Linked DNA regions of Pelodiscus sinensis. Each later gene encodes a partner of the first gene's protein in a complex. Links are inferred from orthologs where the notes say so. Each region holds a gene or a part of one and is shown in the gene's direction. Other genes may lie near its edges. The genes, in order: CUL3, KBTBD2, KLHL25 and KLHL22.

Region 1 (7,399 bases):
ACTGGATCAAACAGACCCCCTTGATATCAACAGAATTGTTGGAGTTGGGAGAAGTATGGAGGGATGAGGATTGGTCAATAAAACAGCAAAATAAAACTTACCTCATTGTGTCATTTTTTACTAATCATGTAGTGACTTCAAAGGAACTTTTGCTTGTCAGGACTGCAGGATGAGATTCTAAATGTGATACATTGAAAACAAGCTACTCCCCATCCTCCCCTTCTCTTGAGCATACAGGCTATTACACAGGTTTTGTTGTATTGATGGTGTTATACATATCCTCAATATATCACGCAAAATTTGTGCAAAGCCTAAAACAAGCATCAACACAGACTGATAATTGTATTTATGTAACTAAAAAGAAATATGACTTTTTGTTCTTTTAAATAAGAATCTCTTCCTTCCACCCTCACATAGGCAGCTGCCTTTCTGAGTTTCCTTTCAAATGTAAAAACTTGAAAAACAATGAATAGTCTAGCAGCACCTTAAAGACTAACAAAACATGTAGATGGTATCATGAGCTTTCATGGGTACAACACACTTCTTCAGATGAAATGTTGAATGTTATAGAATGAGACCATGCTAATACACTTTCTCGGATTTTTTATTATTCTGATGCAACCCCTCACTGTGTGGATAGCGCCAAAATTCAAGTTAAGATTCTTCAATTTAAGCTATGCAATTACCGTAGCTGAAATTGCGTATCTTAACTCGAACTTATCCCCTAGTGTGAACCAGGGGTATCTAGAGCAGGAATTTCTGGCCTTTGTACTCAGAGCTTGCACACGAGTGTGAACTGTGAAGGGGACTGGAGGCAAACAGAGGATAAAAGTAGTCACAGTAGATAAACTTGAGCCCCATTATGGAAGGCTATTTTTCCCAAAACAGTTATTACTTTCTTTATTGTAGGAATATTTGATGATGTATAAATAAGATAGCTGGCATTGACTAAGATGGGCGTTAGGGCTACTAGCCATTGATAAGTAAATCCTGCCCTTCTTCACACACTCATCTCCCCTTTGATGGACACCACTAGTTCTTACGAGCAATTCCAATGATCTCTTGTGTGAGCACAAGACCCTACATTAGCAAAACTGCTTTATTCCTCCTAGAGATGGGAGCAGAAATTAGAAGAGTTCTAATAGGGGAGTTCTGTGCAGCTACCTGTTACAGAGCTGGAATGCAGAGAGGAGTGAACAGCAAGTTTCATATGAGATCCACTGGGCTGCAAACCTGCATGGGAAGAACCTCAAGCAACAATCTCTACTTGTAATAATTTTACTAAGTAAGAACCAGCAGTATTATTGAGCCTTCTATGATACCAAATGATCATACATTGCAAAGTTAAAGAAGGTTTCTTAAGAGGGCCAACATGGTTGTAACTGAATTTTTAAACGATGATCCCTCCTCTAGTGACATAATCAACCATTTAACTGACCTGAGTGGACCTCCAAAAAAAAAAAAGAGTATTTATGAGAGCTTGGTACGCTTGGATAGTGAGGTTGCACTATGTAGGGTTGCCAGGTGTCCGGTATTGAACCGGACAGTCCAGTATTTTTGCCTCCTGTCTTGTAAAAAAAATTCAGAAAATGTCCAGTACATTCTGATTTTTTTCCCAGGTAGGAGGCGAAAATCCCATTCTGTCTGGCTCAATACGGAAGCAACCTGGCAACCTTAGTGCTTACCGGATTCCGCAGGGGAGCTGTCCGGCCTGGCACAGAAAGGCAAGATGGCGGGTGGCCACCGGCAGCCTGTTAGGGCCAAAAGGCCTCACCACGCGGTTTTTAAAGGGTCCCCGGGGATTTTTTTTTCTTTTGCTTAACAACTCTCAGGGTCCTTTTTTCTGGCGTGGGTTTTTTTTTTGGGGGGGGGGGGGAGGGGTTCTGGCAACACTAGCCCTATGCATAAGGGAACAGTATGAAAAAAGGACAAAAACAGTATTCGAACGTGTTGTGCTAGAGCAGGGGTGGGCAATAAGCATCCCACAGGCCTGATGAAGATTACCAGATGCTTTATTTATGTGCAGATATACAGGTAAATCATCTGGTGGCCCAACATGGGCTAACCCTAGCAAACTGTGTATGGTCTGCAGGCTGCTTACTGCGGGCTCTATGCTAGAGCTATCAGCAGTAATGCAGGTACCTGCAATCCAAACTGCAATTTAAGGTAGGCTCCTTCTCCCAACCATTTGAACTTCTTGGAAGCAAAACTTTTAATTTAGACTTAATTGGTTGGTTTACTAAGGTCTCAAATGAGGAAGATAACACTGAAATGTATGGACACTATTTCTTCATATTGGAAGTTAGAAGGAAAACTTTGCCTCTCCTACCACTTGACTTTTTGGCTGTTAATGAAAAGTGGTTTAAGAACTAGACATTCTTATTCTAGAAACTGTACTTTTCAGAAGGGTTGAATGGCACTGTACTTTAGTCATGCTGAAATCATTAGAACTTTTTTTTTCTGTGCTCCTGTTATATAATTTTTCCATTCAGTGTATACGTAATTCTGAACAGGAGATTAAAAACATACACAAGAGGCACTTACATTAGTTTTAATGCTAAGTATTTGTTTTTAAGATGAAGGGAACAAATAGGTAAAGAAACTCTTACAGAAGACAAACTAGCTCGCAGGATATTTGTGCCTGTGTATCCTTTGTGCCAATATTTTAAAGGCATTTCTAGGAAATTGCCGAATAGTGTGATGATTTTAGTGTACTAGACTGAAAAATGCCTGTGAAAAGAGGAATTATGCTGTTGCAGGTAAAGTACAGATTGGGAACTGAAACAGGAGTTCTGTTCCTGTCTGTGCCACAGACTTCCTATATGGGATCTTGGGCTAGTCACCTATGCCCAAACTTCAAGTGACTATTAACTTTTTGTTTTTGTTCTTGAGTGACCCACCTGAAGGTCAGATGTGCTGAGCAACTGACTCTGCCTTTGACTTGCAAAATATATTTACAACATTTGATACTTTATATAAACTGTCCTAATTTGAGAGTGACCTATATTTAGCCTCACTCTCACACAGGGATTGCCTCAGGTGGCATCCTCATTTCTCAAGCATATATTGTGATTACTAAATTTTAAAAAGAGAAAACAATAACTGCATTTCAACATGACTATGAGTCTCGGAAGGAGTACAACACCCATGAGTGCCATGACTCAGTGAGCCAAAATTAACAGCTGGGAAACTTCAGGTTGATAATGGAAAAGGGACAATATGTCTGTGCAGTTTTTTACTTGGCCTATCTTTTAAAGAGACTGTTTGCTTTTGCTCTCTCCACATAGATTTGAAAGGAGTTATGGGCCTATGTTTAAGGCTGCGTCTACATTTGACTTTGTTTCCTTCAGTTTGCCCATCACTGCTACCATTGGGTGTTCAGCTATTATTACCAAATTATCAGCATATGAATAACCATCTCAGCACAGGTCTAGCAACCTGATGGCTAAAAGCTTTGTGAATGCTGGCACCTACCTAATTTATGCTAACAACTGAGTCACTATTACCATTGAGGATAGCTATATAGACCAGTGCTTATTCTGATTTCTTTATTTAAAGGCTCCATGGTGACAGAGCCTTGGTCACATTCTCAACCTTTTCCCAGTCCTTTTTTAAAAAGAAGAGTTGTGAGTCTTTCATAGTCACTTGAGTCCAGGAGCTGTGACTTTAGAAAAACACCTATTGGCATGAAATAAAAGGGAAAGAGCTGGCAGGTGGCTAGCCTAGACAACACCATCCTAAGGTCTGGGCATGTTGTCCACATGTGGGGCTCTAGTTCTAGCTGGGCCTGCAATGAGTGGAAGTAGCACTAGGCCCAGAGTGCAGTGCGGATAGTCCCAAGCTACGTCTACCCAACAGTGTTACTTTGAAATAACTGACATTATTCCGAAATAACAAAGCGCACAGCTACGTTACAAGCCTTTATTTCGAAATAATGGCGGGCTGGAGGCCGTCTTATAGCGAGGGCTGTACCCCTCAGTCAGCAGGAGTAAGGAAGTGGAGGGATGAGAGCTCTTCCTTCCACTCCTGCGGTGGGGACAGCGCCAAAGCCCAGTTAAGCTATTTCCACTTAAGCTGGGCAGTTGAGGTGGCTGAAGTTGTGTAACTTAATTGGACTTTAGCCCTGCTCTGCACAGGTACCATGGAGACCACGCCCCCGAGGCCCCACAGCAGCTACTGCTGCTAAAGCCACCACTTTCCCCCAGGCCAGCCGTGGGACCCCCTCTGCGTTCACCCCACCCGACTGCGCTGCGCTCAGCCAATCAGCGGCTGCCTTTGCCCCAGCGCGCTTTCTCTTCCTGCCTTTGCCTCCCCCCGCCCCTTTGCAGCCGGTGACAGCTCCGAGCGAAGTCTCGCGAGAGCAAAGCAGCGGGGGGGCCCCCACCCCCTCGCCCGCCCTCCCCGCCGAGCTCCTCCCCGCGCCCCTCCTGCCGCCGCGGCCGGATCTGTCTGTGGGGTGGGGGGGCGCTTGGCCCTGCGCACTGAGCGATGTTTGTCCGCCATCGCGGCGGAGGAGGGTGAAGGAAACGCCGCCGCCGCCGGAGACAGGGGCCTGCGCCGCCGCCGCCCGGAACCTCCCGTCGCCGCCTCTCTCCTCCCCGCCCCGCCGCCCCCGGGGCCGCCGCTCGGAGTGAAGGTCGCCTGGGGCCCCCGCCCGGGGTCTCCCCGCAGTCCCCCCCCCCCCCCACCCCGCAGCAGGCTCCGCTCGAGCCGGGTCCGAAGATGTCGAACCTGAGCAAGGGGACGGGCAGCCGGAAGGACACCAAGATGCGGATCCGAGCCTTCCCCGTGAGTCCCCGGCCACCGGCTGCGCGCCAGGCCCCGGCCTCCGTCCGCCCGCAGGCCCCGCGGCCGCCCGGTCTGTCACCCGGCTGCCCGCGGGAGGCGGGCTGGGGAGCAGGGCTAGAAACTCCGGGCACGGGGTTGGGCTGGGGGCTGGCGGGCGGGGGACACGCTCCGTGCCCCCATCTGTTACCAGCACAATGAAACCTGTCACCGCGGCCGAGCGGGGGAGGAAGCACCGGCGCGGGGGGCGGCGGCGCGGGCCCTTGCTAGGGTCTGGGACCGGCACTGGGGGTGGCGTCGCCGGCGCGGGCACTGGCAGGCGGCTGGGTGAAGGGGAGGCAGTTTGGGCACTGACCGCGGTTTTGGGGGGATGGTTTACAGACACTGGGAACGGTGAGGGAACAGCTCGGGCACTTACTGTGGATCGGTACTGGGGAGGGTGCATTACAGCGAGTGGGGACCCTCCACAGCATGAAGCATGTGGAGGAACCCATACTGGTGGTAATTCTTCCCCCTCAGAAGCTGTGTGTTTATTATAGTCATATGTTCCGAAAATATATTTAATGCCATTTCCAATTAAAGGCTTTCAGACAAGAAGCTACAAATGCACATAAACAAAAAAAGGAGTCTTATAACTCTATCTCTAAGCTAGTTTTCCTGCATATGGGAGATTTTATTTTGCAGGTATTGTTGGTCAGATGGTAAAACGTCAGGTGACAGTGTAACTTTTCATAGGACTGCTAGGATATATCCAACTCTGAGATTGCCAGTCACTTTAGTTATTGAGCAAATAAGACAGATTATTAATTTACACTGCTGTAAAACTGCTGTGCTTTGACAGTTTCTTCAGTTGAAGCTTAGAACAAATGAATGTGAAGACTGCTGTTAATGGTTTCCAGTATTACAAGATGTGTGGAAACTTCAGTCATTTTTAGTGATTTCCTGCAAAAGTGTGTGTGTGTGTGTGTGTATATAATATGTATATAATAAAAAGGAAATGCTCTATTGAGTCACTAGCCTTTAGTATTTATCTTAACTTTTTGTTACACCTGACCCAGCTAGCCAGTGGCAAACAATTATAATAGGTTGCTTTCATGAATAAACTGGACATACCTGTTCACATCTGTTCACCAGCACATAATATCAGGGAAGACCTGCTTAGCCAAAGCTCTTACCAATGAAGTTGAAAACTTTAATACTTCTTTAAATTGTTGGAAGTTATCTGTAGGTATTTGATTCAGCTGGATAGCTTCCCTCTTAAACTCTACTTCTAGTCAACAATAATTATTTATGTTGAAGGAAAAAAAAGTGTACTGTGAAGTAAAAGACTAGAAAGTTTTAAGTCAGGGTGGGTATCCAGTACATGGTTTGTTAGGGTTAGGTGCTGGTGGACTGCCAGATGCTTCGTTTACCTGAGTGTCCGCAGGCATAGAGCCCCCTGGCCCACTCCCAGTGGCGGCTGTTCCTGCTGTTCGCATTGGCAAGGAATAGTGAACTGCTGCCACTGGGAGCTGCCGGGCTTCATGACTGTGGATGCTCAGGTAAACAAAGCATCTGGCAACCTTCCAGTGGCTAACCCTGATGCACCTCATGTGGCCCAAAGGCTGGAGGTTCACCACCCCTGTTTTAAGTGGTGTGTGGCTGGTGATCTCCAACAGACATTATTGATTGTTAATAATACTCTTGTTCACAGCATAAACCTCATATTATCAGAACATTTGGAGGGCGGTATAGCAAAAGAATAGCTGATAACTTGTGTACTATAGTGGATTATCATACACCATTTTTGTCATTGTTAATGTTTATCTGTTTTACAGCAAACTTCTTTTCTTATTAAATCTAAATTCTGGCAGTCTTTTAAATTTGGCTAATAGGATCCATGCAAAATCTCTTTACGTATGTAGATGATGGTAAACTAAGAAGGGTTAAACAATGACTAGAATAAGTATTATTTTGCTTTTTATTTTTTGAAAGTTCTTGTAACTAAGCATATAAAATGCGGTTCGTGGGTGAAGAATGTTCATGTGGAGCTCTGCTTTCATAAGTGCTGAGAATGCTTGATATTTTTTCACCCCTCAAAATGCTTCTTGTTAGCATTGTTTTAGTTTTCCCTTTTTTGGGTTGTTTAAAGAATGGATTACAACTATCTAATTTATCTAATTATCTTCCTTTAAAAAGTAACACTTTTAAGTATATATTGACATCAAGGCCTCCAAATGCCAAATAGAACCTAACATCTGTTTATAGTATTTTTTTTAAGTTTTGCGATTTTAAAATAAATGTCCTTTTTTGCAACCAAACACAGTAAAAAGTTCACAAAGGATTTTTAACTGAAAAAGGGCATGTTAATGAATGACAATTTTTCTCTCTCATAATTATTTGCATGATAGTAAAATCTTAAAAACTATCACTCTCTCCAAAACCTATAAACATTTAGGCACGTGTGTAATTTGATTGGTTCATTTCAATGGACTCTTCATGAAGCTATATTTGTTTGCAAGACTGGGACCTGTATTTAGTATTTCCACCTTTTTTGGCTACTGTTTTCTCTTTTCACTTTCTCCAATTCTGATGCATTGTTCTGAGTTTTGAATTGTTGATGTTGCTAGTGTTA
Region 2 (8,013 bases), on another chromosome or scaffold:
CTCTTGAAACTCATATTATCCTAGCACCCAAGAGAGAATAGGTATTAGTTTTTAGCTAAACATCTTGAGCATTGTTTATGGCTACTGTGACATTTTTCTGCACTTAATCTCTGACACTTCAGGCTCTGACATGAAGCCTTTTAGCAAATACGACAGTAGGAGAAGTGTCTCCAACCAGTTTCATGTTTGGAGTCTGGAAGTTCACTAACAGTTTCATTTCAGCTCTACCACACTTTCCCTATGACCTTGGCAGGTCAGTCTGTTCATCAATGCCCATTCCCCCAAGCACAGTACAGGCAGTCCCTGACTTACGCGGATCCGACTTACGTTGGATCCGCAGTTACGAACGGGGCTGCCCCGGAGTACATGGACTGCGGGACCTCGCGGTGCCGCCGCCCGTGAACTCCGGGCGAGAAAAGCTGCTCCGTGTCTCCCTTGTCTGCAGACCAGGAAGACGCGGAGCAAAGCCGCGGAGGGGCTCGGGCAGCGGGGCAGCCCAGGCATGCCTGGGCTGCCCGAGCCCCCCCCCCCCCGCGGCTTTGCAAAGCCTCGGGGAAGCCGGCAGCAGGGCAGCCCAGGCGCGCCTGGGTTGCCTCGCTGCCCGAGCCCCCCCCGCGGATTTGCAAAGCCGCAGGGGAGGGGGGGCTCGGGCAGCAAGGCAGCCCAGGCGCGCCTGGGCTGCTCCGCTGCCGGCTTCCCCAAGGCTTTGCAAAGCCGCGGGGGAAGCCGGCAGCGGGACAGCCCAGACACCCCGCGGCTGTCCCCCTCAGAGGCTTTGCTCCCCGTCTCCCTGGTCTGCTGGTCTCCAGCAGACCAGGGAGACGGGGAGCAAAGCCGCGGAGAACCCAGGCGGCGGGACCGCGGTGCGTCTCGGTCTGCCGCCCGCGTCTTCCTGGTCTGCTGAGGTGGGGGGGGGGGGCACAGCTAGTAGGCCTCCCCCCCCCCCAGCAGACTAGGCTTTTCTCCGGATGCCTGTGGCAGAGCAGCTGGGGTGCTGCCGGTTGGTCCCGCAGCGCCGCTCTGGGCGCTACTGGACCAACCTAGCAGCACCCCATCTGCTCTGCCCCAGGCGTCCTGATTTAGCCGCTGCTGAAACTGACCAGCGCTGACTACAGGAAGCCCGAGGCAGAGTTGCTCTGCCCCGGGCTTCCTGGAATCAGCTGCTGATCAGTTTCAGCAGCAGCTGACTTGGGGACGCTTGGGGTTCTTAAGTTGATTCTGTATGTAAGTCAGAACTGGCGGTCAGTTTCAGCAGCAGCTGAATCTGGACGCCAGTTCCGACTTACATACAGATTCAACTTAAGAACAAACCTACAGTCCCTATTTTGTACGTAACCCGGGGACTGCCTGTAAATAAGAATAGGCAATTATTACAGAAGGGTACTCCCTCAGTAGCCATTAAGGTATCAGAGTCATGACTATACTGAAGTTCAGTTTTCACTTAGGTTTTCTGTCTCGATGGATGTTTGCCAAGGTGATTTTACTCTATATTCCTCATAGACAAATAATATAGTAGGGGTCCCTGATTCAAATGGGGTTTGCTATTATTGCCAGTTGCTGAAACTGCCGGCTTCCATTTACAAGATTCTTCCTAGGAAACTTGTTCAGTTCATTTGGTGTTGCCCCATTCATGAACAGAACAGACAACAAACACTAGTTTATAATATAGCTGAACAAATAGATAGGAACACATTGTAAGAAAGACACTTTTACTTCATACACTAATTCTAGCCTCCATATTAGGGGAAATACAAGAGTTACACAACAGGTGAAGAAAGCTTCACTATGAAACAGGGATTTCATTAACTCAGGCAGTAACTCAAACACATTGTCCTCAGTCAGCTCAATCTTGCCTTACCAGGTGCAGGAACGCAGTATGGATTATACACATTACTGAGATACCATGGATTTGGGAAAGGTTGTTGTGCTGTTGGCTGTGCATAAAAAAAGGGTCTTGTGTGGTTTGTGGAATATGGCCCATTTTCTGAAGCTGGCGCAGTGTTCATTTTTAAGCTGAAATGGCAAAAAGTTATCAGAATTAGCCACTTTAAAGACTACTAACTAGCACATCCTTCTAAACAAGTCACAGTATTGCAATGAACAGATTAAAGTATCTATATTAAAAAACAAACATATATAGTCCCATACTAGTACACCTCACTCTATCCTGAAGATTTTTACTTGCTTTCATTTCTATCACCATTAGGGGAGAAGCTACAAAGGCCATAGTAGTAGCTAGAAAGTAAAACAAGTTTTACTATCAAGCAAAGTTCAGCATTCAGCTGTCATTTGTTTCACCAGATAGCCACATGACAAAAAGCAAGATTGTCTTTATGCACAGAGTTCATCTTTAGATTTGTTTTAAACTAAAGAGAGAGACCCCCCAACAAGCATCTATCTCTATATTCAGTTAAAACTGACACTGAAGGCCAAAACAAAGCCTCAGCTAGATTTTCTATATAAGCAGAGTTAAGCTTTATTATAAATTACATGCCACCAGGTGCCTCTAAATAACCTGCACAAGAAGCACCCTACTGGTCAGTTAACTTCAAAGTGGTAAAGGGGGACTAGAAAGAAAGATAGTTAGCACTAGCTGGTATGAAGTGAAGCAGGCATACATTTACTGAACTAGAGACTTCAAAAAAGTAATTGACAAAAATTGAACAACCTGTTACAGTTTTGTACACAGTTCACTCCTCAGGAGAAAGAAAAACACTCAGAGCAGAGAGAGTCCTTGTCACTCCCAGTTCCATCTAGTACACAGTCCCAAAACAGATTTTAACTAGCCACCATGAACCTACACACTTCCCTTATTGCACGCACTCTTCTAAACCACACACCCAAAAGGATTTGCTTTGAAGAAAGCAAGCCCTATAAAGGTAAGCTATTTTCCCCGATGAAAGCCCTTCCAAAACTAAGGTCCATGCTGCTGCTTAGAGCCCAGCAAGAGACTAGCCACACCTTCCTCTCACCTTGTTTATGGAACACAACTACCACTGTCCACTCCCTTCACCATCTGTGGCTCATTTAACAGTGATGCAGGGACCTTTTCTATCAATCAGTGGGAGTTGTAACCAATGGAGGGGGCAGGAAGAGCAGCAAGTGTCCCAACCCCTGGGCAGAAGACTCAAGATAACAGTACCCCAAATCCTGCAAACATTTCCATTCTCTTTATATTCAATATGTAAAACAATTGGGATGTAAATAGCAGGTCAAAACAAAATATGATCTATCCTACACTTAAAGTTATAGTTCAAAACAGAATCTCTTTTTGAAAAAAATCCTTAGAAAGCACAAAAATGTTTGTGCCTAATTTTATTGGTTACTGTTAATACTAACAAAAGAAAGAGATTAAGTGTTTGTATGTCAACACAAGGAAATATGAACAGTTGAAATTCACCTTCCACCTACTTAAGAAAGAAGTGTCTGCTCCAAAAAAATATACTTCAGCACTTGAAATGTATGAAAATGAATGATAGAAAATGACTGGCATCCAAATCCTGCTGTGACTGTATAAAATTTGTGGGAATTTTATCACTTCACTACTTGAGACATCTTCTCAATGAAGCATAGAGCACTTACGCTTTGTGGCAGTGGCAGTGAGAGGAAAATTAAAACGTGATTGTGAGGTGGGAAAGACTGACTACCATGAAAAGAGAGATGTGGATAAACAGGAGTCTCTGTCTATAACGGTGCACTACACCATTATTCCAAAATAACAATGTGAGCATCTACACAGCAATCCCATTATTTCCAAATAATTTCAAAATAACAGGCAGCTTATTCCAATTTATGTAAACCTCATTGTATGAGGAATAATTCCTCTTTCAAAATAACTATTTCGAAATAGCTGCAGTATGGACTCCACCGCTGCTATTTCAAAATAGCTCATCACCAGGGCCATTCTAAGTAATTTCTCCCCAGTGCTTCCTGGGGCTGTAAATCGAGATAGCGCATCAACATTAGGACTAATTTTGAGGCTTCCTTGTAGTGTGGACATGCTATTTTGAAATAAGCTATTTCAGAATAACTATTAATCTGGAATAGCTTATTTCAAAATAAGTGTGTAGTATAGAGGTACCCTCAGGGTGCATGTACACTGCATTCTTAGCTCAAAATATGCTATGCAATTAAATAGCACTGAAGTGTAGACATAGCCTAACTAAGGAACTTTCTCTTAAATAAAATACCAGACTATGTAGCACTTTAAAGACTAACAAGATGGTTTATTAGATGATGAGCTTTCGTGGGCCAGACCCACTTCCTCAGATCAAATACAAATGTTACAGATCAAATGTATTTGATCTGAGGAAGTGGGTCTGGCCTACGAAAGCTCATCATCTAATAAACCATCTTGTTAGTCTTTAAAGTGCTACATAGTCCAGTATTTTGTTTCAGCTACACCAGACTAACAGGGCTACATTTCTATTTCTCTTAAACGTTTTCGCTTGTCTGCTGGCACTGTTGGGATTGCCTGTTTCTCCTACAGCAGCCCCATAGTTTGAGCTCTGCAGGGGCAGGAGCCACCATATCATTCTCCTCGATCGCTCCCTCTCCCTTAGCGGCCCTGTTGCCCCCGCTTTTCATCCCAAGCCTGTCCATGTTTTTCAAGGCCCCAGCTCCTGGAGGCCAGTGATGATACAAGCCTCCCCCTCTGCTTCTCCAGCTCGGCCGGGCGGCGGCAAGCTGGGAGGGACAAAGCCTGGGGGAAGGGCAAGGCAAACGCACACGCAGCGCGGCACATTTATTATTGTTTTGAATACTCCGATGGTTTCAAATCCCAGCTCCCAGGAGCGCCTCAGTCCCGGGCCACACGGGTGGGCGGGGGTTTCCCGCTTGCCCCACAGCACCATCTGCGCCCGCGGGACGAGCAGCCTGGCGCGCTGCAGCGCAGAGACGCGCAGGCGGGGAAAGTGGGGGCGGGGCACTGAGCTCCTGCGGTGGGCGAGGGCGGGAATCAGCGCGCACCTCAACGTGTCGGGCTGAGATGGGCGCCGCCTGCCGCTAGGGGGCTCCCTCTCTCTCTCTCACGCCTGCCCTGCCCGCCGGTTTGATTGGAGCGCAGGCGCACTCGTGACCGCCCTGCCCGCAACCCTCGCAAAACCAACTTCCTGCTTCTGCGCAGTCTCCCAAAACAGTCGGGTTTCCGCAGGCCCCGGGCCAACGCGCGAAAAACAGCGCATGCGCGAGACGAGATGAGCGAGCGAGCGAGGGGAGGGGTTCGATTGCTCTTCTGCACGAGGGACGGAAGTGCGCGAGGAGGGCGGGCTAGCGGGAGCGCAGCTCCTTTGCCGCCCACATCCGAGCTCGCGCGCGCATGATGGCGGGGGGGCGCGCCGCCGAGCTGAACGGACGTTGAGGGAGGCGGGTGAGAACAGAACGAACGAACGAACGCGCGCGCGACCGTCTCCGTCCGCAGCCCGGGTTTGACCGGATCCTTCCCCGCAGGCGCTGAGGCTGAAGAGGAAGCGGCGGCCGGAGGTTTGCTCGGGCAGACGGCGGGACTCGGTGGCTGCGTTTGTTCCCCCCCCCCTACCCCCGGGAGGGAGGGAGGCTGCGGACCTGCCATCGCGCCGCACCGAGCTCCCTCCGCCCTCGGGCAGCGCCCGCTCCGCTGCGGCCTGGGCAGCCTGAGCGGGTGCCGGGGAGTCACCTCCTGCCTCTGCCCAGGCCCGCTCCTCTCCCTCCCCGCTGATGCTCCCTGGCCGGCAGGGCCCCGCGCCGCTGCCGAGCGGCCTGTGACTGGGTGCGGCCCCCGGGAGGGAGGCTCGGGGTGTCCCCGCCCGACGCTGCGGCTGCGAGGGGCGCCCGAGCGGTCAGACAATAACAGGGAGGCTGCGCGGCGGGGCCCGGGGGAGGCGCGCGCGCCTGTGTCTGGCCTTCGCGTGCCTTCCCCTTGTCCTGCCGCCGCGGCCCCTCGGGGTCCTGCCGGGCGCTGGCGAGATGGAGGCTCCCAAGGAGCGAACGCGCGGGCTCTGCGGTGCCTGTTGTAACCCAGCGTCGTCACGGGCCGGGCGCGGGCTGGGGCCGGGCGCTTGACACCCATTCTCCGGAGAGGCTGGGGAAGGGCTGGGACGTTGATTTTAGGGCTTCTTGGCTGTGAAGCGGCTCTAGACCCTTGGGGCGAAGGGCGCTTGGAGGTAATGGCGCTGCTCTCGTCTCCAAGTGATCCCGGCGTTGCATCGCATTGTAGCTGGGCACCGTACTGCTGCTGGCGGTGACGCCTCGGCTCCCTCAGTGTTTGTAAGTGTCGAGGAGAACTTGAGGGATTACTTGTTCCCGGCTTCAGCTTTAGCTGGACTTTGGGGGTTAAAATACTGCGGCCTTTTCTGACGTGGGGACACAGCTTAAACATGTAATATGCCTAGCACAAGATGTGCGTTAGTTGTTGTTCATCGTGCATCACATTTTGCTTCCGAGATTTTTCCTTCAGCTCACCAGAAAATGATTGGACACCTGTACTAGTTACTTTTGGAAAAAATGAAACTAGGTTATGATTTATAACACTACCCGAGTTCTGCTAATTCTTGTATTTGTATAAGGGGACCTGCAAAGCTCCCTCATCTCCCCCCCCCCCAAAAAAAAAGACCTGTTTACTTTTTTGCTGCTTCATGATATTAATGAAAGCCCAAAAACATGTTTAAAATTTTGCTTGGTCTCTTTAATTCAGAAATCCACATAGGAAGACTCAACTGGAGACTAAATAAAGCTATTCCTGTCCAAACTTCATTAAGGGTGGGAGGATATAAGGGCAAAGATGCTCACAAGAATGCTGTAGTTAAGTAGTTTGGAGCTCATTATTTAAAATAAGGGTGTTAAGGAGTGGGTATTTGGCAATACAATTTTTATCGACTACACAATTAGTCGATAAGGGGAGACTTCTGCACAGCAGCAGTGGGGGTAGCTTCTGGAGCTAGCAAAAGCCTGGACTGCTCCGTCCCAGCTCACACTGGGTCAGGTAGCCCAGGCTGCTGCCAGAGCAGCCTCTGCCTGCAACAAGCCTTGGCCTGCTGTGGGCAGAGGATGCGTCACAGGATGCTTCATGGCAGCTTCCCCTACCCCCTCCCTGCCCTCTGCTGTCTCTGATGTCTTTTGGTGATGGAAAGTCTCCTCTTGATGTGATTTTTTTTTTTGGCCTGTTTTGTATGTTAGATTAACCTGACGTTCAACCAGTTAATTGACTAAGTGGGATCCCGGGAGGGGAACCACTCCAGCCTGGTTGGAGCAGCCCCCAGCTGATGGCGTGGGTGCTGGCTGGGAGCATGGTGGGGATGGAGCAGGCAGGGGGCTGCTCCCAGGGCATTGGTTAACCGTTACTCGGTAAGCATCACCTGGTATGGTTAACCAGGTGCCCATTCGCATCTCTACACTAAGCTGGCAGTTTTCTCTTGTTTTCATGTTTGTGAAGGTATACTTCCTCCTAATATCTTTTTCTCCATGCAGAGGAGCAAAAGACAGTGAAGAAATTGGCAACCACTGTGTAATGTCCAAGCTAGGGATACTAAATTTAGATTAATCGGCCAATTGACTAGTTGATGCAGTTTGGATCAACTATTCGGTTAGTCAATAAGGGCACCTCTGTCTTTGAAGTGTAGCAAGCATTACCCTGTTGGCCCTGTGCTCCCTGTGGCATTTCAAAGCAGCAGCACTGCATGGAGCCTGGGGTCAGTAGGGTAGTTCCTTGCTGATTCCAGGCTCTTCACCGTGCTGCCACTTGGAAATTCTGCGTGCAGCCCAGGGCTAGCTGGGAACTCCTTGTTGGCTCTGGGCTCCATGCGGTGCTGCCACTTTGAAGCACCCCCCTCCTCTTTCCCGTCTCCCCCACTACCTCTTTCTGGTCGAAAGAGTGTCAACTAGTTCACATCCCTAGTCCAAGAATGTCTTAAAAGTTGTGTGTATAATATTTCAGAGACTCTTGCTCATGTGTCGTCTCAATTCCATCATTAAGTCTTTGGAACTCCATGTCCTCCTTCAGTATCAGAATCTACCTGGTGTCTTCAGGTTTCAGGACTC
Region 3 (7,486 bases), on another chromosome or scaffold:
AAGTTTAATCAGCTTTATGTTTAATTAGCTATGATTAAGTTGTTTATAAACAAATGTGTTGCAATGGTAGAAAAAAATGTATGTCTCTAAAAACTGTAGGTATTGAGGGTACTTATAATTTTTTAAAGGGGTACTTTATAAAAAAAAAGGTTGAGAAACACTGCTCTAGATCACTGGAAGGTGCTTGTTTTAAACTATGGAATGGTTATAGCCATCTCAAGCAGCGTCCCATTCTTCCCTTAGTGATGAACTGCTCTTGTTTTCCTCTTCAATTGAGTCCTTAGAAAATCCTCCGTAGGGCAAGAGATGGATTGTTTTTCCATTTGGTTCCTCCCATTGCTGCCCTCCTCACTGTCTCCTGTACTGTCAGGTGCCCCCAGGTGCAGCTCTCTCTGTCAGATTCACTCCAGCAGTTTGCTTCACTGTCAGGCTTTCTGCTTCTCTGTGTGCTTGTGTTGTGCCCATCACCACACTGCCTAGGCCTGCTGCCTGCTGTCCTCATGCTCCCTTCATTACCACTAAAGATATAAACAGGTTCCTCCCCATCACGATAAGGAGTCTATCGGTTTTCAGGGCTATTACTCCTGTTCTGTAGCCCCATCCTCTCAGGACTCCACATTGACAGCTGCTATGAATCACTCCTCCCCATTCTCTCAGTTACAAAAGGATGGATGTCAGTCTGGGTTCACACACAGCTTGAGGAGATAAGGACTTTGCCAGCTAGAGTAGGCAGCAGTTGGAAATTGCGCTGAGAATTAACAATTACTACATTACATTCCTTGATGGTTCTTTTATAGTCTGGAGCAGCTGGACAAGACTCAATTGCAAAGGGAAATATCAGTTTCATTTTGTCTTTAAATGTTGCATTGTGCCATTGTTAAACAGATGTTTTCTGGGTGCAACAGCAGTCACCCTGCTCGAGATTCTGCTTGAGATCCACAGCAGCTCATTAACCTAATTAACAGGGTATTTCACCCATTGGAACACACAGACCTCTGAAGCAGCAGCTTTTCTGGGAAATGACAGAGTTTTAGTTAATTTCACCAATCTTGTATAGCCTGGGCAAACGCAGGGAGCAAGGATTTAAAACAGTTTGGCTACGTCTATAGTGCAAGCCTCTTTCGAAATAGAGCATCTAGACTACAATGCAGCAAGCCGCTTTTTTGAAAGAGATCACCCAGGCAGTTTGGATGCTCTCTTTCGAAAAAGCAGTTTGCATTACATAGCGCCTTTTTTCAAAAGAGCACTTTCCAAAAAAGGCATTATTCCTCGTAAAACGAGGTTTTCCGTGGTTAAAAAAACTGCCGCGTTCTTTCAATTTACTTTCACGCACACCCTTTGATGGGCTATAGCTGTTATTTATTGCACATAGTCCCTTCTAACTGTAGCTACATGTTATCCCATTTCTACCCAGGAGGAAATATGGGACTGTATTTTATCATATAGCTTTTTATTGGGGTGTTGCTTCAATTAATCCTCTTATCAGTCATCTCTTCCTCTTCCCACTCTCTTCAGAATGGGCCCTGCAGGCAGTATCTTTTTGCGACACACCAGGGGTACGTCTAAACTACATGCCTCCGTCGACGGAGGCATGTAGATTAGCCAGATCGGAAGAGGGAAATGAAGCCGCGATTAAAATAATCGCGGCTTCATTTAAATTTAAATGGCTGCCCCGCTCTGCCGATCAGCTGTTTGTCGGCAGATTGGGGCAGTCTGGACGCGACGCGCCGACAAAGAAGCCTTTCTTGATCGGCACAGGTAAACCTGGTTTCACGAGGCATACCTGTGCCGATCAAGAAAGGCTTCTTTGTCGGCGCGTCGCGTCCAGACTGCCCCGATCTGCCGACAAACAGCTGATTGGCAGAGCGGGGCAGCCATTTAAATTTAAATGAAGCCGCAATTATTTTAATCGCGGCTTCATTTCCCTCTGCCGATCTGGCTAATCTACATGCCTCCGTCGACGGAGGCATGTAGTTTAGACACACCCCAGCAAAAAACAGGGACAAGCAGAGGCATAAGTAACTATGACAGGAAACTCTCAGGGCATGTCTACACTGCCACCCTAGTTCAAACTAGGGTGGCTAATGTAGGCATTCGAACTTGCAAATGAAGCCCGGGATTTAAATATCCCAGGCTTTATTTGCATGTTCCTGGGCGCCGCCATTTTGAAATGCCCCATAGTTCGAACTCCTTGCCAGCAGCTACATGCAGCACGGACTAGGTAGTTCAAATTAAAGCTCCTAACTAGAACTACCGTTGCTCCTCATTGCAGGAGCGATCACATTGCGGAGCAATCACACCTCACGTGCATTTTTGCACAAAAATATCGAAAGAGCAGAGGGATTTTTCCAGTGTAGGTATTCCTCTTACTATGAAGAATACTCCTTTTTGTGCAAGAACTCTTGAGCAAAAAAGTGTGTGTGGATGGGAAACGGGGTTTTTTGCACAAAAAGAGGCAATCGAAAAAAGCACAGGTGCCCTGGTGGCCATTCTGTAAATAGCAATCTGAGTTTCCTTTAGAGAGAGCATCCTTGGAGTCTGGATGCTCTCTTGCCAAAAGCGCATCACTTTTTCAATGCACTTTTGCAGTGTGGATGCGCTCTTCTGCAAGAAGCCTGTAGTGTGGATATAGCCTGAGACAGGAATAGAGCCCAGCATCCCAGGCCTATTTTTGAAGCAGATGTGGCCCTCTAAATTTCGAAAGTGAAACCACCTCGGGGTACAGGATCTTTAGAAAAAGGGAGTTTTTTTGAAAGACCAGTGTCAGATGGCAGTTTCACTTTCGAAATAGACTTTTCGAAAGAACGCTGTGATGCAATTATGCAAATGAAGCGTGTGATATTTAAATCTCCACTTCATTTGCACTTTGGATCTGACTAATTTACATCCCACTTTTGAAAGAGGGATGTAGTTTAGACATAGCTTTTATGTCCATGCACCAGCCTCTTCTTATCTCTCTTCTGCGCCTCTGCATCCTCCAGAGACGCTCTAGTTCAGGAATGGGGCCCCTTGAGGTTTGGGGTTCCATTCAACTGCAGCAGGGTGAGCTGGCACTCCACCCACCCAGCAAGTCTATGAGCCTCAGTGCCCCCCTGCACGGCTGGAATGCCAAAACTAGCTCCCCAATGTAGTCAGGGGGAGTCTCAAGCCTTCTGGGTTGGAACAAGGCACAGCTGCATCTGGCCCACAGGCTCTGCCTGATGAGTGGGAGGAAGCAGCTCAGCATCGCAGTGCAGGGAAGCTCTGTCCCTGCGCTTGCTTGCAGGCTCCACCCCCATCAAGCCCACTGACCGGGAATATTCCTGCAAGTGTAGGTGGTACACAGCCACATGTGCCCCTGCCCCCTCCTGCACAGACCTCTGCACCTTCACTCCCAGACCCCTTCTGCACACTAAATCCTTCATTTTAGGCCCCACCCCAAAGCTTGGGGGGAGGTCTCACAGAATCTACTATCCTCTGGACCTAGGGGAAAATCCTGAGCTTTGGCTCTCCCTTTCCTCCCTCTCCCCCCAGTGGAGTTGGAATGAAGTATCTTTTCTGCATGGTCAGTGAGGGTATTTTTCTCCTTCTCACTGGGGGACCAGGTCTGTGAGGATTTCCTCCCTCCTCCTCCCCCCCCCCCCCCACTTTTCACTTTCATGTGGCTCCAAACTGGTTTTTCTGTAGGTCAGTGGCCTTCCACACAAAAAAGGGTCCTCGCCCCTGCTCTAGCTAAGTTCAAAGTGACAAAGCCTGCCAGCCTGACCTATTAGCACAACATGGAACCTGTGAAAGAGCCATTCAAGTGGCAAGGAAGCCATTTAACAAGCATTGGCCAAGGCCAGGGATATCCGGCCAGTTTCTGAATTTACTGTGTTAATGGACAGGCCCTTCGTTTAACATTTTTTAAAAAAAATATTTCTTTCTTGTGTGGCTGAAGGTTATAAAATCACAGCTCTTAAACTGTTGTCCCGTCCCCAACGGGCTGTCGGGCATAGGGAGACCAGTTGAATAGCCCTGCCTAGGGCCCCAGAATTCCTAAGGCTGTGATGGAGGCAGCACAGGGGGCTGATGGAGAGTGTTACAACAGGTGCAATCGCAGAAGGGGCTGCAGAGCCTGATGAAAGCGCTGCCCAGCACTGAGAAAGCCGGAGGAAGGAGGCGGGGGGGGGGTTAACAGGTCAGACTCAGGCGCGCTGGCAGAGCTGCGCTGGAGGACAAGCTGGAATTAGGAAGCGCTGAAGTCCAGCTGCTCTTGCACCATATGCTAAAGCTCCCTCGGCTGCCCGTGCTGTGTCCGCTGGCCTCGCACCTTCAAGGCTGTTTCAAAGGCTCCTCTACCTTTAAGAATCACGGGGGAGGGAGGGGTTAGGGTCCAGCTGCTTCAGCCCCACCCTATTCCTTAACTCCGCCCGTCACCAGTTTCCTCTAATCCAATTGGTGGATTCCGCTGTCACTCACCCTCTCTCTTCTACGAGTCGCACCTATGGCCGACGCTCCTATCTGTCACAATACAGGGCGGCGCTGATTGGTCGCCCTCTCTCTCTCTGCTGGATGATGTCTCCTCCTCCAGCTGGGAAAGTAGTTCTTGTCAAGCCTCTGGTTACATTGTATCCAGTGAGTGAAAGTTACCTGGGGAGGCGGAATGGGCCCGAGCCCGGCGGAGGAGCGAGCGTGACCTGGGGACACGCTCGGAGCCCTGGAGCAGATTCCTGACCTGTGAGTATCTGTGCAGACCCGGCTCCCCCGAGTGGCAGCGAAGCAGCATGATGCGTGCGGAGAGAGGTGAACACAGGCTCCTGGCTCTTGGAGCGAGTTCCCAGCGCCTGGGATAGCGCAGGACAGGGAGCAACAAACTGTGCAGTTGCTAACCATGTCATTTGCAGAGTGCTTCGGAAAGGGGGAGTGGGAAATCAGCGAGGCAGATCTCAGCTAGGAAGGAGGGGAGAGAATGGGGCAGTCCTCCATATATTGGATGCCGCGTGTGGTTGATGGCAAAGTGACACTTGAGGGAAGGGGAGGATGGTTTGCTAGCTTTTTCTCGTAATCAGTAAGTCATTTAAAGAGGCTTTGAGAAAGAAGTAGCTGCAGTTAATGCAGAAAGCCAGAGAGAGATTAGTTGATATCTTTTCCCTCTTTCAGGAGTGTTTGGAAAAGCTTGGAAGAACACTTCCAAGGGGAGGAAGGGTGAGTAGGCTGGTGTTTTTTATTGAGCATCGATGGAGATTTATTTTACAAATTGGAGTTTAAGGTTGGGGGGAGGTTTAGGAAGAAAAATCCGTTTGCTCTGACTTAACCCTCGTGCTCAAGATGCGCTATAATAACTGCTCAGTGTACTACAAATATTTGTGTCTGAGCACCTGAATAGTCAGACGTTGTCTGTCAAGTCCAGATCGTCACTGTTTAATCATTCTCTCTTACAAGTTTATTAAAATGTGCAGCGAGAAGTTGGAAAGACTCAACAATATGGTGTCAGACAATTAGGTGATAGTGTGAACCCAGCATGTTGTCGGGATAACTGGGTGCATTGTTCTCATAATCCTGGAGCTCTGTACAGTTTGTATACACTTAGAATGTTAGCAGTGAAATATTTAACAAATGCTTGGGGCACTGGGCTTTTTTTAAACAAAGTGACTGTTCACACCTAGAATACAGTGTTTATTCATTTTTTGTTTGCCTCTAAATATTTCTCTGGATCCTTCTCCAGTGATCTTCCTGATAAAATAATGAACTGCAGAAATAGCAGCAGCAACACAATTCTGAAAGTTTGCAATTTTGTGTAAATGGTTGATTCAAATGGACTGATTGTTATGTCCTGTTCTGTTATGACAGCGTCTGCCATGTCACATTGCCCTTCCTTGGGTCTCTCTAGGAATTAAACAGTTACAGCTCTATTTTTCATAAGCCCATTAATACTGTTTGAGTTCAGACTTCTTTACACCAAAGAAAACAGCTTCATACAATCACTCCTTTCAGGAGGAGCCATCTGATCGTCAGGGATACCTCTCCATATGGAGACAGCCCGCTTGTTTAATCTCTCTTCTTCCTTTGCTGTGGTCTCCTTTCGAAATAACAAGCAGAGCATCCACACTACCAAGCCCGTTACTTCGAAATAATGGGCTGGTTATTTTGATATAATAACTCCTGCTTTCCACAAGGAATAACGCTAATATCAAAATAGTTACAGTAGAGTCTCGATTATCCAACCTAAACGGGACCAAAGGATGGTCGGATAATCGAAATGTCGGATAATACGGAAAATACCTTGCGGGGGTCCAAGGTATTTTCCCCGTCAGCTGCCACTTTGCAGACGCTTGGCTGCTTTATGGGGAGTCGCGCTGCCCCCGACCTCCCCTGTCTCCCCCAGCCAGTTGCGCTGCCCCCGACCTCCCTTATCTCTCCCAGCTTGTCATGCTGCCCCTAGTCCGTCTGTAAAGCACCAAGCACAGTGTTATGCAAATAATAATATGGAACCCCTGCAAATGCTAGTGATTTCCATTCTATTGGTGGTATCTTCAGGGCAGGCACAAAGTATGATGAGGGGACATGTGGGAGAATCTTGTACTGACTATTTGTAGAGCTTTGTGTGGATACAAAATTTCCATCCATATCCGCATCTGCAAAAGTGATCAACGGATATCCACATATGTGGATGTCTATACCTGCAGATATAAAGTGGATAGCCATAAATTTGTCCTATATACAAAATTTGTATCCACGTTCATATTGGTAAAAATAAGCTATGGATATCTGCGAATTTGCAGGTCTCTACCTATTCTCCTTGCCCCTCTAATTTTCCCTTTCCAACTCATGTTAACCCATCCTGGTCTCTTTTCTCCAGAATCTGGCTCCTGTTGATATAGGAACATTTTGTTCTTCTTCAGGTGATATCCCCATGGATGCTCCTCTGTTGGTGTTGAGTGGTCCCCGGAGCCGCAGATCAGAATTTTTCTTAGCAGTTGACGGTTGGGCAGCTCACACACAAAAGGTGCCTCACACCACTTGACCATTAGGTGCCTCCTGTGACAGCCCTGATTCTCTTCCCCTCCGCTCCCCTCAGTTCCTCTTCAACTGCCCTCGGCCACAGACGGACTTCTAACCTCTCTCGCCTCCTTCATTTTCTCTCTTCACAGATCTTTGCTACTTAATTACCTTCTACCCCGGGCTATTTCCCTTAATTGATCAGTTTTTACAACTTCAAAGTAAAAACAGCAAGTGAAAGAACAGGCTGTCCCAGCCTCAGTTCTCATGGACCACCGCAGAGGCGGCAGCTTTAATCTCTCAGTTTCTCCGTCACACTCTTGGACGTAGTTCCAAAAAAAAAAAAAAAAAAAGAAACCAACAACAACAAACAAGGGATCGGGATCGGAGGGGAAAGGACAATAGGGCAGCCTGAGACCAAAAATCACTCTGCATGCCCCCCCTCCCCCAGTGAGCCCTTGCCAGCATCTGATGGGCATGCGGAGTGTATGAGATGCTTGGGGGGGGGGAAGCCAGAAAGGACCAT
Region 4 (6,883 bases), on another chromosome or scaffold:
CCTTCAGGTGCTTTTAACATCTATCGTCCATTTAAATTGAAAACTGAAAACGGAAAGACCCAAAGGACATTCTAACAATTCAGAAACATTCCTAGGGAGCAACAATCAACGGTATTTTTATAGTTCAGGTTCCATGTACTTTTCAAAATGAAATTCTAGTTATGCAAGTTCCAGTTGATTTAAACACAATGGCTACATCTAGACTGGCATGATTTTCCGGAAATGCTTTTAACGGAAAAGTTTTCCGTTAAAAGCATTTTCGGAAGAGAGCGTCTAGATTGGCACAGACGCTTTTCCGCAAAAGCATTTTTTGCGGAAAAGCGTCCGTGGGCAATCTAGATGCGCTTTTTCACAAAAAAGCCCCGATCGCCATTTTCGCGATTGGGGCTTTTTTGCGGAAAACAAATCTCAGCTGTCTACACTGGCCCTTTTGCGCAGAAGTTTTGCGCAAAAGGGACTTTTGCCCGAACGGGAGCAGCATAGTATTTCCGCAAAAAGCACTGATTTCTTACAGTAGAAAGTCAGTGCTTTTGCAGAAATTAAAGCAGCCAGTATAGACAGCTGGCAAGTTTTTCTGGAAAAGCGGCTGATTTTCCAGAAAAACTGGCCAGTCTAGACACAGCCAATCAGGATGAAATTTAAAGACATTTTAAAGTGTAATGAGCAACAAGCCCAGTCTCAATAGACTCCCCCACTCCCATACTCTGCCACAAAGGATATTGTTTCAAATGTTCTGAGACAAGCAGCCATACATGTTGCACCTTGATAATGTTATAAGTATGAGCATCCACATGCATATTACAAAATGGAAGCCATACAAAGCTTTCAGAGCTATAGCTGTAGGCAGATAGCATGTTAATAGATTTGTAATTATAATACATAAAAATATGAAAAAGGAAACGAAAATACATTCCCTGGCAGGCAAGTTGGAAGTAAAGAGTGATAATCTGGTAATGGGATTTTTCTGACGCAAATAAGACACTGTAGAATTAATCTTTGAGGAAGCAGAGGGGGAAAATGTCACACTTAAAAGCATATTTCATAAGGAAAATGTCAACCAAATTGCTCTGACTTTGCTGGTCATTCACTTAAAAGCAACAGCAGCATATTTAGGAGTAAGGCACCTGTGGATAGGACCAGTCACTGTAGAAACTTCGAACAATAGAATTATAGGTAATGGGTGAGGTTTTGACAAGAAATTAAGGGATTTGTGCATAGCTTCCTTAGTCTCCTTTGAAAATCACAGAGAATATCTAATGTCCCAATTCTTCATACACACATGCTTATTGTTACACATGCAAATTAGTCACACTGAGCTTAATGTGTTTTCATGCCTGTGGTTTTAGATTATTAAAACTGAAAGACATTAGAAAGAAAACCTATATTTTTTTTTCTTTGTGCATAGGACACCATTGTCTGCATTGTCATTTTCACTGTTTCCATTCCCCAGTAAGCATGTCAGTCAGTTTTTCCTTTGCTAGAGACTCAAGGGGTCAGGAAACAACATCATGATTCCAAAAATGGGAGAAGAGAGGGACAAAGTAAATGGTTGGCAAAGTCAGAGAACAGAGGAAGTTGTGAGAGAAAAAGTGAAGCAAAGATATCTGTTTGGGAACATTCTGCAGGGCTTTATGTGGATTATGTAGGTGAAGCAGACAAAGAACTTTAATAGGATGCTGTAAAAAGAACAGATTTCAAAAGATGTAACTAGTAGTGTTATGTCTAACAGAGTAGAAATAGAAATCCAGACAGGAGATGATTACATTAAGACTAGCATGACTCAAGCAATGCATTCACACAAGTATTCATGCATGCTGAATTAACATGCAATTAAATTATTTTAATTTAATACACACCAGCAAGTGAATTATTCCATACGTATTAACTAGCAAGTCAGTATGCTTTACGAACTGTGTGTACTCAGGTCATTTTAATCCATTGGCACAAACTAAAATTAATGTGTAATAAGCCTCTGCTGCAGAGAAGCTCTTAAATATGTAGATCACCTCAGTCCCAATAAATCTACTCTAATAACTGCATGTTAATAAAGTGCATGGCTGCTTATTTCAGGATGTTCTGAAATAAGCAGCCAAGCACTGTGAAAATATGGTGGGTTTCCAGAGTCAATGGACAGATAGTTTCGTCATGGGGAGATTTCTGTGACTCTCTGCACCCCCTCTTTACAAATCAGTTACGGGCACTCTTCTCTTCTGGGGGGGGAGAAGGGGCTGTGGGGCTGGCAGGCAGGCGCCTTTGCACCGCACCGCCCTTGGTGTGGGGACTGCCACCCACAAGTCTCTGCTCCGCTGGCTGGCAGCCCGCTGCGGGCGAAGAGCCTGGGTGCATGGGGTCTATTTGAAAACCATGGGAAGGTGGGCAGGCGAAGCCCGCCCACGTTCTAAAAGCCCCTCCCCAGCCTTACAGGAGGGACAACTGGACCCATGTCCAACTGATTACAGGGGACAACTGATGACGAAAGGATCAAGGGGTGCGGGTCACAGATTCAAACTAAGGGAACCAAATGGGGACATTGAGCAGAGAACTCCGGACAGCGCCCACTACTCCTCAAAGCTATCGAGGGAGCCAGTGGACGCCGCCCAAAGGAACTCTGCCCGGATACGTGACACAAGGGAGGAACGGAAATAGGCCCCACAGTCGCAGAGAACCCCCACGTCTAACATCTTACTCCTGGTATTATATATAGCGGCTTTTGCTAGGGCCAGGAGGAGGTTGACGAGGAGGTCTCGCAACTTTGTGGGGCCACGGATAGGGTGTGCATAAATGAAAAGGTGAGGGGAAAAGTGCAGCCAGAACCTCCATCAGAGGTTCTGGAGGAGCCGGAACAGGGGCTGCAGCCTGGCGCATTTGAGATATGTGTGCACCAGGTTTTCCCTCACGCCGCAGAAAGGGCAGGTGTCTGGGATGGGGGTGAACCGCGCCAAGTACACGCCCGGGCTCACGGCTCCGTGAAGAAGCCGCCAACTGATGTCTCCGATGGGCCGCGGGATTAAGGTAGAATACACACTGGCCCATCGGGATCCCCCACCCTCAACGGATCTTAGATAGTCCTGCCACTTGGTATCGGGGCGGGACACGAGGGTGGGGAAATGCAGAGTGTGCAGCACGAATGTGTACAGCTGTTCCCTAGGCGCGGTCCGAAAACAGACCGGCTACAGATTTTGCAGCCGGCTGGGAGTCCAGGGGTGGAGATGCTGGGGGGGGGGGGGGGGCGCGGAACAGGGGCCCAATAAAAGGGGCGGAGGCTTTGCAGGAGGGACGGGGCATACCCTCTCGCAGGGACCGCTGCAGAAGGTTGAGAGCGGGCCGCCACAAAGCCGCCTCCACCTCCTGGAGTATGCGCAGGGGGGGTTCAGAGGGTGGAAAGCCCCATGCACCGAGCGAGCACTCAGGGCTCCACCCCGTCCCCCCTGTCGTAGTCCAGGAGGTCTCTGACCATGGTGGTTTCTGCCAGGCTCAGTCTCCGGCGCACCGTGGGAGACCCCACACCTGCACGCACAAGGCGGGATTGTGGAGCAGGGGCTCCGTGAGGAGGTCTGCTCCCTGGGCGGCCACAACGGACCAGGTGGCCGGCCAGCGCTTCCAGGTCGGGAGGCGTTCCTGGTAGAATTCCGGGGGCTCGGAGCGGCCTCGCGGGTGGATAAAGGGAGCTGCCGGCATACGGGGCGCTGCGGAGGGAGGCGCTCCAAGGCGCTCCCTGCCGGACCATGCACCGGGTCCCCGCAGGGCCTGGGGGCGGAAGGGCTGGACCCGGCTGTGCACAGACCAGGCCCTGGCCCCTCCTGCAGGGGGCGCCGCACCCGCCCCACACGCGTTCGAAAGACACGACACGCGCCAGGGGGGCGGGTCCCTTTAAGTGGGGGGGGGGGAGCGCGCGCTCCGTTCGGTCACGTGGGAAGGGCGCTCTGGCCCGACTCGATGGTGCGGGCGAACCCGGAAGCGGGCGGCGGGCGCTGGGGCAGGCGGAGGCTCGGGGTCGCCGCTGCCGGCAGGTGAGCGCAGCGCTGCGGGGGGAGGGGCGCCCCCCCCCCCCCGGGATAACGGCGCCCCGCCCCCCCAGTGCTGGCCCCGCGAGTGACTGACAGGCCCGGTGCCGCCCCCCCCCGCGGCGGGAGAGCGGCCGGCCCCGCTGGGGGGGGGGGCTGCAGGGGAGGAGCCGCTTCCCGCCGGTTCTGCCCCCCCCCCCCCCCCGCTTTACACGCGCCCCCGCGGCCGCAGGCGGGTTCGGGCCCCGCGTTAAAGGGGCGAGTCAGCGGGCTCCTTGCGGAACAACCAAAAAGAAAGAAAGTCAGGCCGGGCCCCCAGCGCGCCGCCGGGCATGGCCGGGTTAGGCTCCCACAGCAGGCACCAGGAGGCGTCTGGCCGCGCCTGAGGCTGTGGTGAGACGCGGCTCGCTCCCTCAGCCGCCTGCAGGGGAAAGAAACGGCAGGAGGCAGGTCTGGGAGGGTGGCAGCAGCGCCAGTTACATCCGCGTGCATGTGGCTCCTCTCCAGCAGCCACGAGATGGTACCTCCAGGGGAAAGTGCGTATGGTAATGTGAGAACTGCTCCCGGTTTCTATTTAAACCTCTTCTCAAGGGGTGTGAAAAACTAACAGAGGCCGTGCTCCCCAGGGCCTCTCAAAGCAGTCATGGAATAGGTTTGCAAACGGCGTGGTACCGCCACTGAGCGGACCCGCTTGTTCAGTGCGGTAAGAGTTAAAATGCTGCGAGGGAATCAGCACACGCAAACTTTGGCTATTTCTGTGGTCTCAGAACTCATCTTGCTGTAACTGGTGGCTGTGAGGTTCTGAACATTTCTACTGGTGATGGCAGAAGATCAGGAGCTGACTCAGACATGCAAGACTCCCTGGGAGACCTCCCTCCAGCAATGCAGCAGCCACACGTACCGCAGTGCACAGCATTCCCAGTCCTTACTCAGCGGCTTGGTCTCCCTCCGAGATAGTGGCATCCTGTTTGATGTAGTCCTGGTAGTGGAAGGGAAACCCATTGAAGCTCATCGGATACTTCTGGCTGCATCGTGTGACTATTTCAGGTATGTGCCATGTCACTGGTTAATCTTTAACCAGCATCTTTCTCCATGACTCAAACCTTCTGAATCCTGGCTGGACTTCTGTCTTTTCGCCCTTGGGACTCCCCATGCTTCCCCAAGTCTGGAGTAAGGTCACACTGGTCCAAAACACACACTCCCAGATTTCAGCTCTGATCACATCTAGAGCAAATCGGTTTCTTTGTACTCAAAGAGTAAAACAACGCCTAGTTGTTCAGTCCATAAAGCCTGACATAACAGCCATTATCATTCCAAACAGGGATTGCATGGGTCTTCCTTAGGGACCCCGTCCACTCAGCTGTGGGTAGGTTGCAATTGAACGATGTAAGTCACTCCTTTCTCCTCCTAGCAGCTCAGAGTATGCCTACGCTGCATAATATAACTGTGTCTGGGCACCTCTGCCTGTGAGGCTGTGTTTGTCCATCTTGCTGATACGCGTATGCGCTGTAGTGTTATGCATGCCCATGCCTTGTCTATACCATCCGTGCATTGACAAATTTCACATCTCTGGAAGCTGGGGTTGCTTGAGGTGAGTAGGGGCTTGGGAATTAGAAAAACCAGCACACACAGGCCCCAGAAATTGTGGGACAGCTTTGATGGACTGTCTCAGCATGAACCTAGCTACGCAAACTCTTAGCTCTGTCTTCAACACAAAGTGGGAGGGTAGAAATATGGTACAGTGAGACAAGCTTATACCTGTATCCCTGGATGAGCCACCAAGCGCACGTGCTGAGAACATACAGGCACGTGCCTGAGGACTTTGTGGATGGGAGGCGGGATTGGTCTTCAACGTGTCAAAGTCTGTCAGACCTGCAATGTAGACACTTAATGGGCTTGTTCACCTCTGAACTCAGTGCATTCACTTCCCTATCACTCCAGCCCTCTCTGGATGAGAACGCAAGGGCATCTGAATCAATAAGTCCTTTGTAGCTTTAACGGCGAGGAGTCCTGTGGCACCTTATAGACTAAATGAAGTGCTGGAGAATAAGCTTTCATGGGCAAAGACCCACTTCGTCAGATGCAGGTAGTGGAAATTTCGTCTTTGCCCACAAAAGCTTATGCTCCAACACTTCAGTTAGTCTATAAAGTGCCACAGGACTCCTCGCCGCTTTTGCAGATTCAGACTAACACGGCGACCCCTCTTATACTTGTAGCATTAAAGCACTGTCACCAGGCTAGCACACTTCCACATATGTTTTAAACTTCTTTAAAACAAGGGCTTATAACATGAGCCCTAACATCTTTTAAAGACAACGACCCCGTTGTGGGATGCAGAAGTCTATATTGCTTTTATTCATTTTAATTCATTTAATGAGGGAGATTTTTATGCTTTCCAGGGTGCCCAGTGATGTATGAGGAAGCCATTTATAGGTTAAACTAATGCAAGGATGCACAAGGAGAATAGGTGTACAGCTGGTTATCCAAAGCTTGACTGCCTTCTGGATCTTCAGAACTAGCTGGCTGGTGTGTCTTCACTGCATTCTGAAAAGGCTCTGCTCTGGGTTTCCAGTTTGAAAACTGTACTGCCTGGCATAATTCCTGGAGAACTGGATTTGGCAACAGACATGGAGGCTTTGCAAAGCTGTCTGTCCAGTTGTCTGTCTGACTCTTTTGGGTGACCCCAGAACAGTATGGCTAAGATGGGTTGAACTGTACATAGCTTTGGCACGTCTCCAGTGTCGTCTGTATCTTTTTCTTTCTACAGAGGCATGTTTGCTGGTGGGCTAAGAGAGATGGGACAGGAGGAGGTTCATATTCATGGAGTTTCCTACAATGCTATGTGTAAAATCCTGAGCTTCATTTACACCTCTGAGCTG

What was found.
Region 2: CUL3 (region 1) and KBTBD2 share a complex: the UniProt entries of both Homo sapiens proteins name them as parts of the BCR(KBTBD2) E3 ubiquitin ligase complex. The link is inferred for Pelodiscus sinensis from reciprocal best matches to the Homo sapiens genes CUL3 and KBTBD2.
Region 3: CUL3 (region 1) and KLHL25 share a complex: the UniProt entries of both Homo sapiens proteins name them as parts of the BCR(KLHL25) E3 ubiquitin ligase complex. The link is inferred for Pelodiscus sinensis from reciprocal best matches to the Homo sapiens genes CUL3 and KLHL25.
Region 4: the proteins of CUL3 (region 1) and KLHL22 are in contact, whole or in part, in a cryo-EM structure (PDB 8K8T), measured with the Homo sapiens proteins. The link is inferred for Pelodiscus sinensis from reciprocal best matches to the Homo sapiens genes CUL3 and KLHL22. Residues at the interface, in NP_003581.1 of Homo sapiens: Thr14, Arg17, Ile18, Arg19, Ala20, Phe21, Pro22, Met23, Met25, Asn49, Ser50, Gly51, Leu52, Ser53, Phe54, Glu55, Tyr58, Tyr62, Leu66, Met118, Asp121, Ile122, Met124, Tyr125, Arg128, Val129, Gln133; in NP_116164.2 of Homo sapiens: Asp73, Tyr74, Arg76, Gly77, Met78, Gly81, Gly82, Leu83, Lys84, Glu85, Leu92, Ile93, His94, Leu117, Gln121, Val125, Cys128, Gln129, Gln131, Pro133, Trp146, Glu150, Asn151, Asp154, Val155, Arg157, Leu161, Phe162, Asp163, Ser165.

What each region holds. Positions count from the first base shown.
Region 1 is NC_134720.1:16,974,702-16,982,100, reverse strand, and holds the start of CUL3 (cullin-3), read left to right. Parts: upstream 1-4,387; 5' UTR 4,388-4,722; coding exon 4,723-4,788; intron 4,789-7,399. UniProt on the Homo sapiens protein: Core component of multiple cullin-RING-based BCR (BTB-CUL3-RBX1) E3 ubiquitin-protein ligase complexes which mediate the ubiquitination and subsequent proteasomal degradation of target proteins.
Region 2 is NC_134712.1:171,548,544-171,556,556, forward strand, and holds the start of KBTBD2 (kelch repeat and BTB domain-containing protein 2), read left to right. Parts: upstream 1-5,012; 5' UTR 5,013-5,481; intron 5,482-5,514; exon of another isoform or gene 5,515-6,243; intron 6,244-8,013. Other genes in the region: uncharacterized protein LOC102448486, read right to left, coding at 1,859-2,006. UniProt on the Homo sapiens protein: Substrate-specific adapter of a BCR (BTB-CUL3-RBX1) E3 ubiquitin ligase complex that acts as a regulator of the insulin signaling pathway, modulating insulin sensitivity by limiting PIK3R1/p85alpha abundance in adipocytes.
Region 3 is NC_134724.1:13,993,959-14,001,444, reverse strand, and holds the start of KLHL25 (kelch-like protein 25), read left to right. Parts: upstream 1-4,478; 5' UTR 4,479-4,698; intron 4,699-5,121; 5' UTR 5,122-5,166; intron 5,167-7,486. UniProt on the Homo sapiens protein: Substrate-specific adapter of a BCR (BTB-CUL3-RBX1) E3 ubiquitin ligase complex involved in various processes, such as translation homeostasis and lipid synthesis.
Region 4 is NC_134725.1:6,512,887-6,519,769, reverse strand, and holds the start of KLHL22 (kelch-like protein 22), read left to right. Parts: upstream 1-3,871; 5' UTR 3,872-4,010; intron 4,011-4,373; exon of another isoform or gene 4,374-4,397; intron 4,398-4,771; 5' UTR 4,772-4,824; coding exon 4,825-5,051; intron 5,052-6,403; exon of another isoform or gene 6,404-6,530; intron 6,531-6,771; coding exon 6,772-6,883. UniProt on the Homo sapiens protein: Substrate-specific adapter of a BCR (BTB-CUL3-RBX1) E3 ubiquitin ligase complex required for chromosome alignment and localization of PLK1 at kinetochores.